Linked DNA regions of Arabidopsis thaliana. The protein of the gene in region 3 purifies or fractionates together with the protein of the main gene of each other region. This does not show direct contact. Each region holds a gene or a part of one and is shown on either strand. Other genes may lie near its edges.

Region 1 (3,760 bases), on a different chromosome or scaffold from region 3:
TTATCCGATTTATCTAACTGAGGAATAGCTCAAGATTGTATTAGTTTACAAATCAAACAACAGACAATATAACTTACGCAAAAGCTGAGTATCCAGAACCAGCACTTGTAGCAGATACAAGAGCTGCATTAGACCGGATTGAGGATATAGAATCCTGAGTTCCAGCTGCTAGAGGAGGATTCTTTACGTCCCCATCAACCTGATTTAACCATAAACACATAAAATGAAATAAGCGAAGAACTAAGTATGCCAAAATCATCATATAGTCACATTCTAGATATTTAAATCTGATAACAAACCTTATCCCATTTGGATTTCTTGTTCGGTCTACCATCACGAGCAGCAATTTCGGTTGGTATGGAAGGCAATCCACTAGTAGCTAAAGCTGGAATACCTGAAAAAAAATTCATCATATTTTGCAGAGATGTAGCTGAGATAAATAACTAACCAATCAGACACCTAGTCATTTTCACACACCTGGAATGGGGATGTTAGGCTTTTGAGCAGCGAAAACCGCCCCAGGTTGAGTACCAGCAGAAACAAAGTCAAGCTTCTGGTTCTTCTTGCTTTCTTGTTCCTTCCTTTCCCTCTCATTCTTCATGTCGATTTCTGTAATTAACACATAAACAAGGATCATTACAAATCATGAAATATGGAGAACGCAGAATATAGTAATAATAGTGACCAGCATCAATAATTTACTAAAGTAATAATGAGTGCATGATACTGAACAGAGTATCAAAATTATAAGCAAAAGATATCAAAGATGCTTCTTACTGAGACAAGAGTAAACAAGAAAAGAGAAGAAAAAAACGAAGAAGCTACAAAAAGGTGGAGTTACCTATTGCATCACAGAAGTCACTTGGGTCATATCCACTGGGATCAAATACATCTTTACTGAAACACGAACCAATCTGGTCAATGTCTTGGTAAGATACAGCATGCAATAGGAAGTCAGGATTCCTGTATTCCTTCCTATTCCTCACTTCTGAATTGAAACTCTTCCCCATCTTTTTCAAGCTCAGAAACTTATCTATTTTCCTCTACAAACACAACAAAAAAAAATACATATCAGACCAACTTGTAACTGAATCACAAACTAATCAGCTTAGAAGACTGCTATTTCCAACCATACGTACCAAGAGACCCCACACAACACACCAATGAGTTCTTGCCTACCTAATGTTTCAAAATAACATTGAAGCATCATCAGGAAACTTACTTGCAGCTCCTCAGAGCAATGAGTAATCAGCTTAGAATCACAAACTAATCAGTTTAGAAGACTGCTATTTCCAAACAACACACCAATGAGTTCTTGCCTACCTAAACTTTTAAAATTAGAACATTGAAGCATCATCAGGAAACTTACTTGCAGCTCCTCAGAGCACCTCTCTCTCGGTCTTGGCGGAAGAAACTGATCCAATAACGTATCACTACTTTCCCCTGAAGCATCATCACCTCTCTCACCATCCGCAACTCCAGACTCACCAATCATTCGATTACTCCAATCAGGTCTCGATGATTCATCGTTATCAAGTGAACGAGGAGTCCCATGAGCACTAGAAGAAGCTCCAACACCATCTAATAGCCTCGGCGTTCTAGAATCTTCTCCTCCTCTTCCTTTCTCTTCTTCATCCATATAATTCGCTTCTTCTACCTGATCTTCTTCAATTATTTTTTCACTCTCTTCCTGATTTCTCTGCTTCTCATCCTCTTCTTCCTCTTCCTCGGCGTCTTCCATCTCTTCGTCATCTTCATCACTGTAAACGGAAAGCAAAGCGATTCCTTCAGACTTCTTCGGAGCCATAAGAAACTGTTGAGCTCAAATTCGAGACTAAGACTTTCGGATTTCGAATCCGATTGCAAGAACAAATTCAAATTTGGGGGAAGAAGAGAACTTTTAGGGTTCTTCAAAAATGGTTTGATTCTGAATCGAATTGCAACCCGAACTTGGATCCACCGAATCAGAACCCAGTTGGGATGTTATATTTTTAAAACGACGTAGTTATAAATTGGATCGTTTATCTATTACTAAAGGCCCAATAACTAAAATTATTGTGCAATGAGTCCAAAACAATGCGAGATTGCTATATGATATTGCTTTTAATTTTTGGATATTTTTTTTAATCTTCAAATGTAAGACAAACTCCTAAAACTAGATGATAAAACAGGAAAAAAATTGTTATTTGTTTACAATTTAATGTCTTTACATTCTAAAGTTTTTAAAAAAATATAATAGTAATTTGAAGAAATATGTTAAATTTTGTTTGTTTCATTGCAATTGGTTGCAACTTAATTCATACTACCTTGCATTTGTCTAGTTCTTAAGCAAAATTGCCCTGAATTGTAATTATTATTTATACAATTTTTTTCTAGTTTTTAAGTTGTGAGTCAATAATATAATAGACCTAAGACTAGCAAAGAAAATATGAACAGTAGCTTCTATGAAAAGTTACAAGTTAAATTAATTAAAAGCCTTATTTTGAATAAATTTAATTTCAAAGTATAATATATACTCAGTAATTACGTAGTCATACCTAGAAAACTATTTCTTCTTTTCTTATAGATTGTAAAGAGTCGTTTGAAGTTAGTAGTGACTTTCGCTTATGTGTTTCTTCCTTGTGCTTATGGATAGGGTTAAATAAATAGCACTTCCTTGAGATAATCAAATGATAGCAACCCATATAATAAGCTATTCAACAAGACTTAGTTTTACTTTTACTCGATAACTATTTGTTTTGTTAGTCCAAATCACAAGTCGATTTCAAACATGTATATTCTTTTGTTGATATTACATCTTTTTTCTTAGTCATTTTTATATAACATCAACATCTACATGCACCAATTAATATGTTGGTTATAAGAAAAAGGTAGTTTTAATTTGGTGGCAAATTGTCGATAGTTATTTATATCAGTTACTAGGGTAGTGTTTACTAGATGATTTTCAAATAGTGTACATTTCATTAAAACTAAACTAATGTGAATATATATATGATGTTATTAGTGATTTGGATTTTAGTGTAGAAAAGAATATTCCATTTAGAAAACATGATAAAAAGAATTATATATAGAAGGTAGAAAACCAAATTTGGATATAACTTTGGAAATAATATTATAGAAAGAACTGGAATTATTGTAAGGAAAAATGAACTCGGATTTGGTCGGCGATGTGAAGTCCACGAACTCACGTAAGCACCAACGCAGCAACACCTGGTTCCCACAATACCATTCGTTACATTTCTGATTCATATAGGTTGTCGTCACAAGAAAAGAGTTATAAATATTATTTAAAAGTGATGACAAAAGAAATAAAATTTAACTCAGTAAAGCGTGACCGTGTCATACGATGGCAACTTCTTATGAATACCTATCTATGATCTGCTGATCGATCAGGTTCCTTTTGCTACTGATAAGTTCTGTCTATTATCTGGCACTGAATAAACTGCTGGAGGTAGAAATATCATAGCGAAAATCACAAAACCCATTGTTCATTGCAAATTGTACTGTGATAACGAAGACGACACCATCATAAGTTTCAATATCTTTATTTTATTTTCTACAGTTTTAAATATTCAAACATTAGAAATAAATTTAATTTTCTCACTGAATAAATATACTACTAAAATTATATTCAAAATAAAACCATTTTTATTTTAAAGTTGTTGTCTTGGTGTATACTGTATAGGTAATAGGCATATAGCGTGTTTAGGTAACATTTATATTTCTCTATAATGATAAAAATTAATTAGAACACGTGTAA
Region 2 (3,173 bases), on a different chromosome or scaffold from region 3:
CTCAATTCTATTTTATTGAACTTGGAATTTATGTAAAATCACTTAAAATAATTCACAATATTCAATCAACAATTTGTAAAACTCAAATCAAATCTATTGTTATTGGAAAAAATACTACTTTTTTTATAATAAGCTGCTGAAAGTGATTCCAAGAGATATTTTTTACCTTTTTTCTTAAGGAAAAGAGTTTTTTTTTACCTTTTTAGTTGAAAAATATGACTTTAAAAATATGACCCATCTCTGCAACTAACCTCAATTAACAAAATATCGCATCATTGCTTCACCAAGGAACTACATAAAGAGTTAGTGATATCTCATAGGGATTCACATACCAGAAGAAATTTGTATATGATCACGTAGATTAGGCAAAATTTTCAGATACAAAACGTTAGTTCTTTTAAGACGTTAAAAAAGGGTTAAAAAAAACAGTGCTACAAATTGTTGATATTGTCCTCAAAAAAGAGTTTTTTCTGGCTTCATGACATTCTATGCCAAAAATTGGTGTGACGTGAAAGAAAATTATATTTTTAAAAACAAATTATTGTATTAGCTAATAGTGACTCAAGAACAATATTAATGATATTCAATTTGAATTTACAACTAGAGACATAGTTCGATATATAAGAAATTAAACAATGGATTTGGAAGAGTTTTATAGCTTTTGTCAAGGAAAAGCTCAAACGCAAAAAGCCCTAGCTAATTGTGACAAAAGCAATTCCTTTTACTTTGTCTTTGCCAAAACTTCCGCTACTCACAGAAGTTGGAGACACAATCACTGTGGAATTTGAGGTTTCTTCGCGTTCCGTTTACGTCGTGCCTTTCTGCTAAGCGGCGATGGCGTAACACCTTGTGAGCTTTCGCTACTAGGAGAAGTATCGTCCTTGGAAACCTCAGAATTGATACCATCATCAGAGATCTTGCAATCCTCGATATCTGTCTTGGCCGTCACGTTTTCCTCCTCAGCTACCTCCTTACGTGCCTAGGAAGGAAAATATTAGGTTTAGTTTTACTATAATACGATGCGGGCATGCGGCTAAAACCCTAAAGAAAATTACGTGGGATAACTTTTGCTGTTTCTTGTTCTTAGCAGGGGGGCTGGTCTCTTCTGAAATGGCTGCAGAAGGAGGAGGAATGCGGAGCTTTACGAGCTCATCGATAAGGGCGGAGACGATTGGCTTTGAACGGAGGGTGTCTTCTTGTTCCTTGTTTAGTGTTTTCCCCTGAGAAATCGACTCTTCCATGTCAGTTATACGGTTGTATTTCTTGCGGAGAGTACGGAGACGTTTGCTGATGAGAGCCGAGATTTGTCCTTCTACGGCGGCCATGATGTCAAGATGAGCGATGAGAACGTCTGAGATAGATAACCACGGCGGAGAAAGAGAACAAGAAAGTAAGTAAGGGTTTTGTTTTCCTTAGAATATGGGATGGGATACAACTTAGAACTACATACATATATATAGTGGAGACTTTAGGTCTCTATATTAGTTATTGACAAATGTTTAGTGTATCTCTATAATATATTTTGGATCGTCCTAGATCTTTGTATAGTTATTTCCATATATCATAATTGCATCTTTTCCATATCTTTGTGAATTTAAACATTTTTTATTAATGTTAAACTTATTATGGTCTACCTTTAACTGTAAAATTTCTTAAAATAAGAAAAACAAAAAAATGTATGTGGTTTTAAATTTTTTTTTTTTGTCAACTTTTATGTATGTGTTTGTTCAAAGCTTTACAGTAGTTCAAGGTTTATACCCATGCGACCCGTGTATTTTTTAACATAATTTTAGATCATTATAGATATTTGTACAGTTATTTTCATATATAATAATTGCATCTTCTTCTTCCATATCTTTGCGAATTAATTATTTTTGTTATGAGTTATAAAATTTATTAAAATAATAAAATCTTTATTTTTTATTTTTTTTTATGTTTTTTAAAAGATTTACAATAGTTACTATGTTTAGACTAGATCCATGCGACACGTGTTTTTTATTATATTTTTGGTAAATATTTTATTAGACCATTAATATTCATTGAAGTATTATATTTTATATATCAGAATTGTAATAATATACATTTAATGATATATAATAAAACTATAGCATCTTTAATATCTTAAATGTTGAAATTACATATGAGACCATTATTTTAATTAATATAAATACGCAGTTCAGAAAAACTTTAGTAGGGTAAATCTAGAAAATGAATTGATTATCACAACAATAATCTATAATTTCTATATTGTGATAGATTTTTTTTGTTAATATATAAGATGTTTTAATATGAATAGTTAATAATTTTTAGTTTTTCTTTGTAATATTCATGATAGTTATATATCTAGGGGTGTGAAAATGGATAACTTAATTCAACTAAACTCATTTTTGTTTTCATGAAATGTTAAATTTATCTGATAAAAAGAAAGAGAGTTTATGAACAAAAGCATGGAAACTATTTAAGAAAAAGAGTAAGAACTAAAACAAGATTATGTGATTCCCCTAGCTTGAAACCATTTTTGGAAAAGTAGTCTCAAATTCAGAGAGTCTCGATAGCGAAGTGAAACTACGCATCGTCAAACCGTTTTTGTCAATTATACTAATCAATTGAGTCACCATACGTTGAGTAGCTCCATGCCGCCGGTAGTTTCACTCCCTCCACAAAAAGTAAATTGTTGCTTGGAATGCTAAACGGAGAAGGATGTGGCTAAGCTAGTCTCTGTTTTTATTGAACTATTGTAATGTTTGTTCCCAATCCGGGTCGGGTTGAGCGTCTAGCAAATTCCCGACAATGTCGCTCCAAATTGTGAACGTGTATCGGCGCACGAAGAATAAGTGATCCCATGACTCATCTAGTTCTCGGCAAAAGAGGCATGGTTGATTACCTAATGGGTTTAGAGTTCATGAGTTAACGCGATTCATTTAACAACTAAGTTGGATTAACCCAAAACCCCATTTAATTTGATGGGTTAAATGATTAAATAGATTGACGCATTAAAGTAATAATTAACATAAAAATAATGACAATGCATCTTCATCATCATTAACACTACCATTATCATCATACTTTTAAGATCATAACATTATCATCATCACTATCAACATAACATATACTTTTGGGCGAGAAAATATATGTTCATGTTGTTTGAGGATTTGCAATTTTGGTGAAAAAAA
Region 3 (3,760 bases):
AAAGGCTTTTGAGACAACAGTTCAGCCATAATGCAACCCACTGACCACATATCAACTGCTGTAGAGTACTCTTTTGCTCCTAGAAGAAGTTCAGGTGGCCTGTACCACTGGGTAATAACCATCTGGGTGTAAGGCTTGATAGGGCTCCCATACTGGCGCGCCATCCCAAAATCACATATTTTTAACTCCCCACAATTGTTCATCAGAAGATTAGATGGCTTCAGATCCCTGTGGATAATCCAATTTGTGTGGAGGTATTTCAAACCATCCAACAGCTGCATCATCAAGCACTTGACTTCGCTAGTGCTAAAAGGTTCCTTCCTTCTATCCATTACTCCCCTCAGGTCGTGTTCTAAGTGTTCCATGACCATATAAACATCATTATCGTTTTTCCCTCCAACCACAACCTCCTTCACGTTCACAATCGCAGGGTGATTGCATGACAAAAGTATGTTAATTTCCCTCAATGATGTCAAAGGGAATCCATACTCTTCTTCGAACCTATCTTCCTTCATCTTGATCTTTTTGAGCGCAACAATCTCTTTTGTTTTCTCATCCCTTGCTTTGTAAACAATTCCATATGTTCCTTCATTTATCTTGTTTAGCTTCTGAAATTCATTCACAGACCTGCTCCCAAACATCATGTTCATCTCTCCCGGAGTTAAAGAATCTTGATCTTCATGTTCTAACTCATCATGATCAGAACTATAATACTCACGACCAGAATTTCCATCTGCACTAAGCTTCTCTACGCTGAGATGTCCACTGCCAGATCCAGACGAATAGCACTGCTGTTCTTCAGACACCATTACTTCCTCGCACTCCGGTGTCAAACTGCTCCTGTTCCATCTATTAGTCTTGGAAACGTTAACAGATATTAACTCCTCCTTTGGGGAAGTCAAACCTGTCCCCCACCTAGATGTCTTTATATTTGGTTCCTGCATCACTTGTTCTTCCTCCAACAGACCCTCCTTTACATCCTCCTGCATCACCTGTTCTTCCTCCAACTGACCCTCCTCCAAATCATCAACAGGATGTTTCACAGCCAGCAGGGCTTCTGAAGGCTGCACTGGAGCAAGATAACTAGGTTCTGGCGACATCAAGGCATTCACTTGATCGTTTGAAGTAGTCTTACCAGCAACAGCCTGATTGGATATCACAGTTGTAGTCGGAACAGGGAAAGGAGACTTGGTCTTCTCCCTAGATGGAGCTCTACCCACTTTTTCTGCATTCCACACGATGGGTGAAAACTTCCTCCTTTTCTCAGAGGGTCTCTGAACCTCTGCTTCCTCCCGTAGTTCCCCTTTCTCATATGCCAACCGTGATCGGTGACGCCCATCATTCCTCCTGAGATCATGGTCACTAGGCCTTTTGATTTGACGCCTCTCGTCATCTCTACCACTCTGTCGAACATACACATCACGAGAACCATTCCTGTAAAAGTCGTAGTCTTTTTTGACAGCAACGGAACTTCTGGAAACATCAACACCCCCTGCTGCCATCGTATTCTTCTCAATGAGAAATTGATCTTATAGAAATAAAAAAGGATAAAACAAACAAACCCCTCGAAAAAAACCAATCAACGAAACCCAGAATCAAATCACGAGAAGCAGATTTCAATAGATGTTCAATTACTTTTCAACAATTGAACTAGAAAGACGATCAATCAACCAATTAAGAAAAACACCCTTGACGAAATCAGAATCAGAATAATTCAGAAAAAAACGAAACCCTAGAAATTCAATTTCCAGGAACGCGATAATTTTTCTCCTTCCTCTTCTCCGATTCACAAGTACCGGAAGGTCTTACCGGACGGTGAATACGAAAACGGAAGATTGGATGGAGGAGGAGATCGATCTACGAGCCCGATGCGATCGCGAGAAGCTTTTCTCTAAATTTTCCTCTCGGAGACGCGTTTTTCAATTTTGTCAAGTGGCTCTATTATTACTTTACCCTTTGTTTTATAATCGTAATAGGTCGGCTGCTCCAATAATTCCCTTTTCTATTTCACAGATTTATCTAATGTTTGCGGGTGTACCAAAAGAACGTGAGCTACGTATTACAGCCGTTGGATCTAATTAATGAACACGAAACTAGTCGTTTATTGTTTGGACGGTGACGGTGACGAATGACGATGCTATAAATAATAATACTCACGTTGTTAATCGAACGGTCAATATTACATTAAATCTTGTGTAGTAAGAATGTAAGCTACATTTCGTCTGAACCGGTAATTAGATCCCATTTTCACTGAAAACCGACACAATAATATATGAACCAGCCGGTTATCTCAAAGTTTTGATGCATTGCCATCCACAGCGATTTTAGTAAGCTCCCGACGCAGAATCTTGCCAGCAGGATTTTTTGGGATTGCATTTATAAAAGCAACTCGTCTTACCTTCTTGTACGGAGTAACCTACACACAAATAGTTACATAAGCAAACCAAAACATCAAATCTAATTGTTCTGTCTACTTGTACTAAAAATTAATATAACCAACATTCTAGAGCAATGAGCATTACTTGTTTAGCTACGAAATCAATGATTTGCGCTTCGTTGAGATTGCTTCCTGGTTTTCTCACTATGAAAGCCATTGGAATCTCTCCTGCATCCTCGTCAGGGAACCTTGAATTCATGATCCATGTCAGTATCAGAAACACATTTCAAGAAGTTACAAATTTGAGTTTAAAAGACTCACGGAACAACTGCAGCATCAATCACATCTGGATTCGAGTGAAGAATCTGCTCCAACTCTACCGGTGGAACCTATAAGATGACGCTTTTGATTAATATTAAACTCTAAAGACTATATCTTCTTCTTCTGACTCGTAAAATTTACCTGATAAGCCTTGTATTTGATTAGCTCCTTTAGCCGATCAACAATATATAGAAAATCTTCCGAATCAAAATAACAGAGATCACCAGTCTTTAACCACCCTTCTTTGTCTACTGTCTCCGCACTCGCTTTCTCGTTTCCCACATAACCTGTGCCCATTAATCACAGGTTTATAGTCACATCAATGATCAAAATCTTGATGAAGACATTAGACTTCAAGGATCATGAAATCCGACTGAGTCCTAGATTTCTTCTTATATGCTAAGTCATTTAGTGAAAGCTCTTGAATGTTCCTCAAACTATTGCATTTGTTACACAGTCCTAGATTCTTCTATGCAAAGTCACAAGTCTCGATTTAATTTGACACAGTCCTAGATTCTTATATGCAAAGTCACATTAATGGTCAAAGTCTTGATATAATTTGACAGTCCTAGATTCTTATATGCAAAGTCATTTAGTTTACACCAGCTCAGCACATTGCATGTTCCTCAACTATTGCATATGTTTTATGATACCTTTCATGATGACTGGTCCTCGGAGCCAGAGTTCACCAGTTTTTCCCGGTGGCAAGGATTCTCCGGTGGATGGATCAACAATTTTGGCTTCCATATTCTCAGAGATACGACCAACTGAGCCATATTTTACCATCTCTTCAGGTCCAAACGTTGAGGCAGCTGGTCCCGAGCTCTCTGTCAAGCCATAGCCCTGTAAGCCATCACCAAACCAGAAAGTTAAAAGTCATATAAATGATTCAAAATCTTGATGAAAACCAAGTATCATGAAACTGGACACAGTCCTATATACAAAGTCATATTTTGACACTAACTGTCTTATCAGTTATTACCTGTACAATATCTACATCTGGGAATTTCTGCTTAAACCTCTCTGCGATGTCTTTGCCGAGTGGAGCTCCTCCGCAGCCAA

Evidence for each region.
Region 1: the proteins of AT5G63370 (region 3) and AT1G29220 purify together in Arabidopsis thaliana (affinity purification with mass spectrometry, with the first as the bait; one large-scale study listed by BioGRID). This does not show direct contact.
Region 2: the proteins of AT5G63370 (region 3) and AT3G24690 purify together in Arabidopsis thaliana (affinity purification with mass spectrometry, with the first as the bait; one large-scale study listed by BioGRID). This does not show direct contact.

Annotation. Positions count from the first base shown.
Region 1 is NC_003070.9:10,210,765-10,214,524, forward strand, and holds the start of AT1G29220 (transcriptional regulator family protein), read right to left. Parts: upstream 1,959-3,760; 5' UTR 1,808-1,958; coding exon 1,370-1,807; intron 1,176-1,369; coding exon 1,140-1,175; intron 1,044-1,139; coding exon 842-1,043; intron 610-841; coding exon 478-609; intron 395-477; coding exon 300-394; intron 200-299; coding exon 78-199; intron 1-77.
Region 2 is NC_003074.8:9,018,890-9,022,062, reverse strand, and holds AT3G24690 (uncharacterized protein), read right to left. Parts: upstream 1,413-3,173; 5' UTR 1,326-1,412; coding exon 1,056-1,325; intron 980-1,055; coding exon 773-979; 3' UTR 572-772; downstream 1-571.
Region 3 is NC_003076.8:25,385,291-25,389,050, forward strand, and holds the start of AT5G63370 (Protein kinase superfamily protein), read right to left. Parts: upstream 1,972-3,760; 5' UTR 1,503-1,971; coding exon 1-1,502. Other genes in the region: AT5G63380 (AMP-dependent synthetase and ligase family protein), read right to left, coding at 2,291-2,416, 2,523-2,625, 2,699-2,766, 2,840-2,985, 3,352-3,541, 3,681-3,760. UniProt on the Arabidopsis thaliana protein: Cyclin-dependent kinase involved in pre-mRNA splicing. Required for the correct splicing of the sixth intron of CALS5 pre-mRNA. May stabilize the binding of U1 snRNP to this rare type of intron with a GC 5'SS.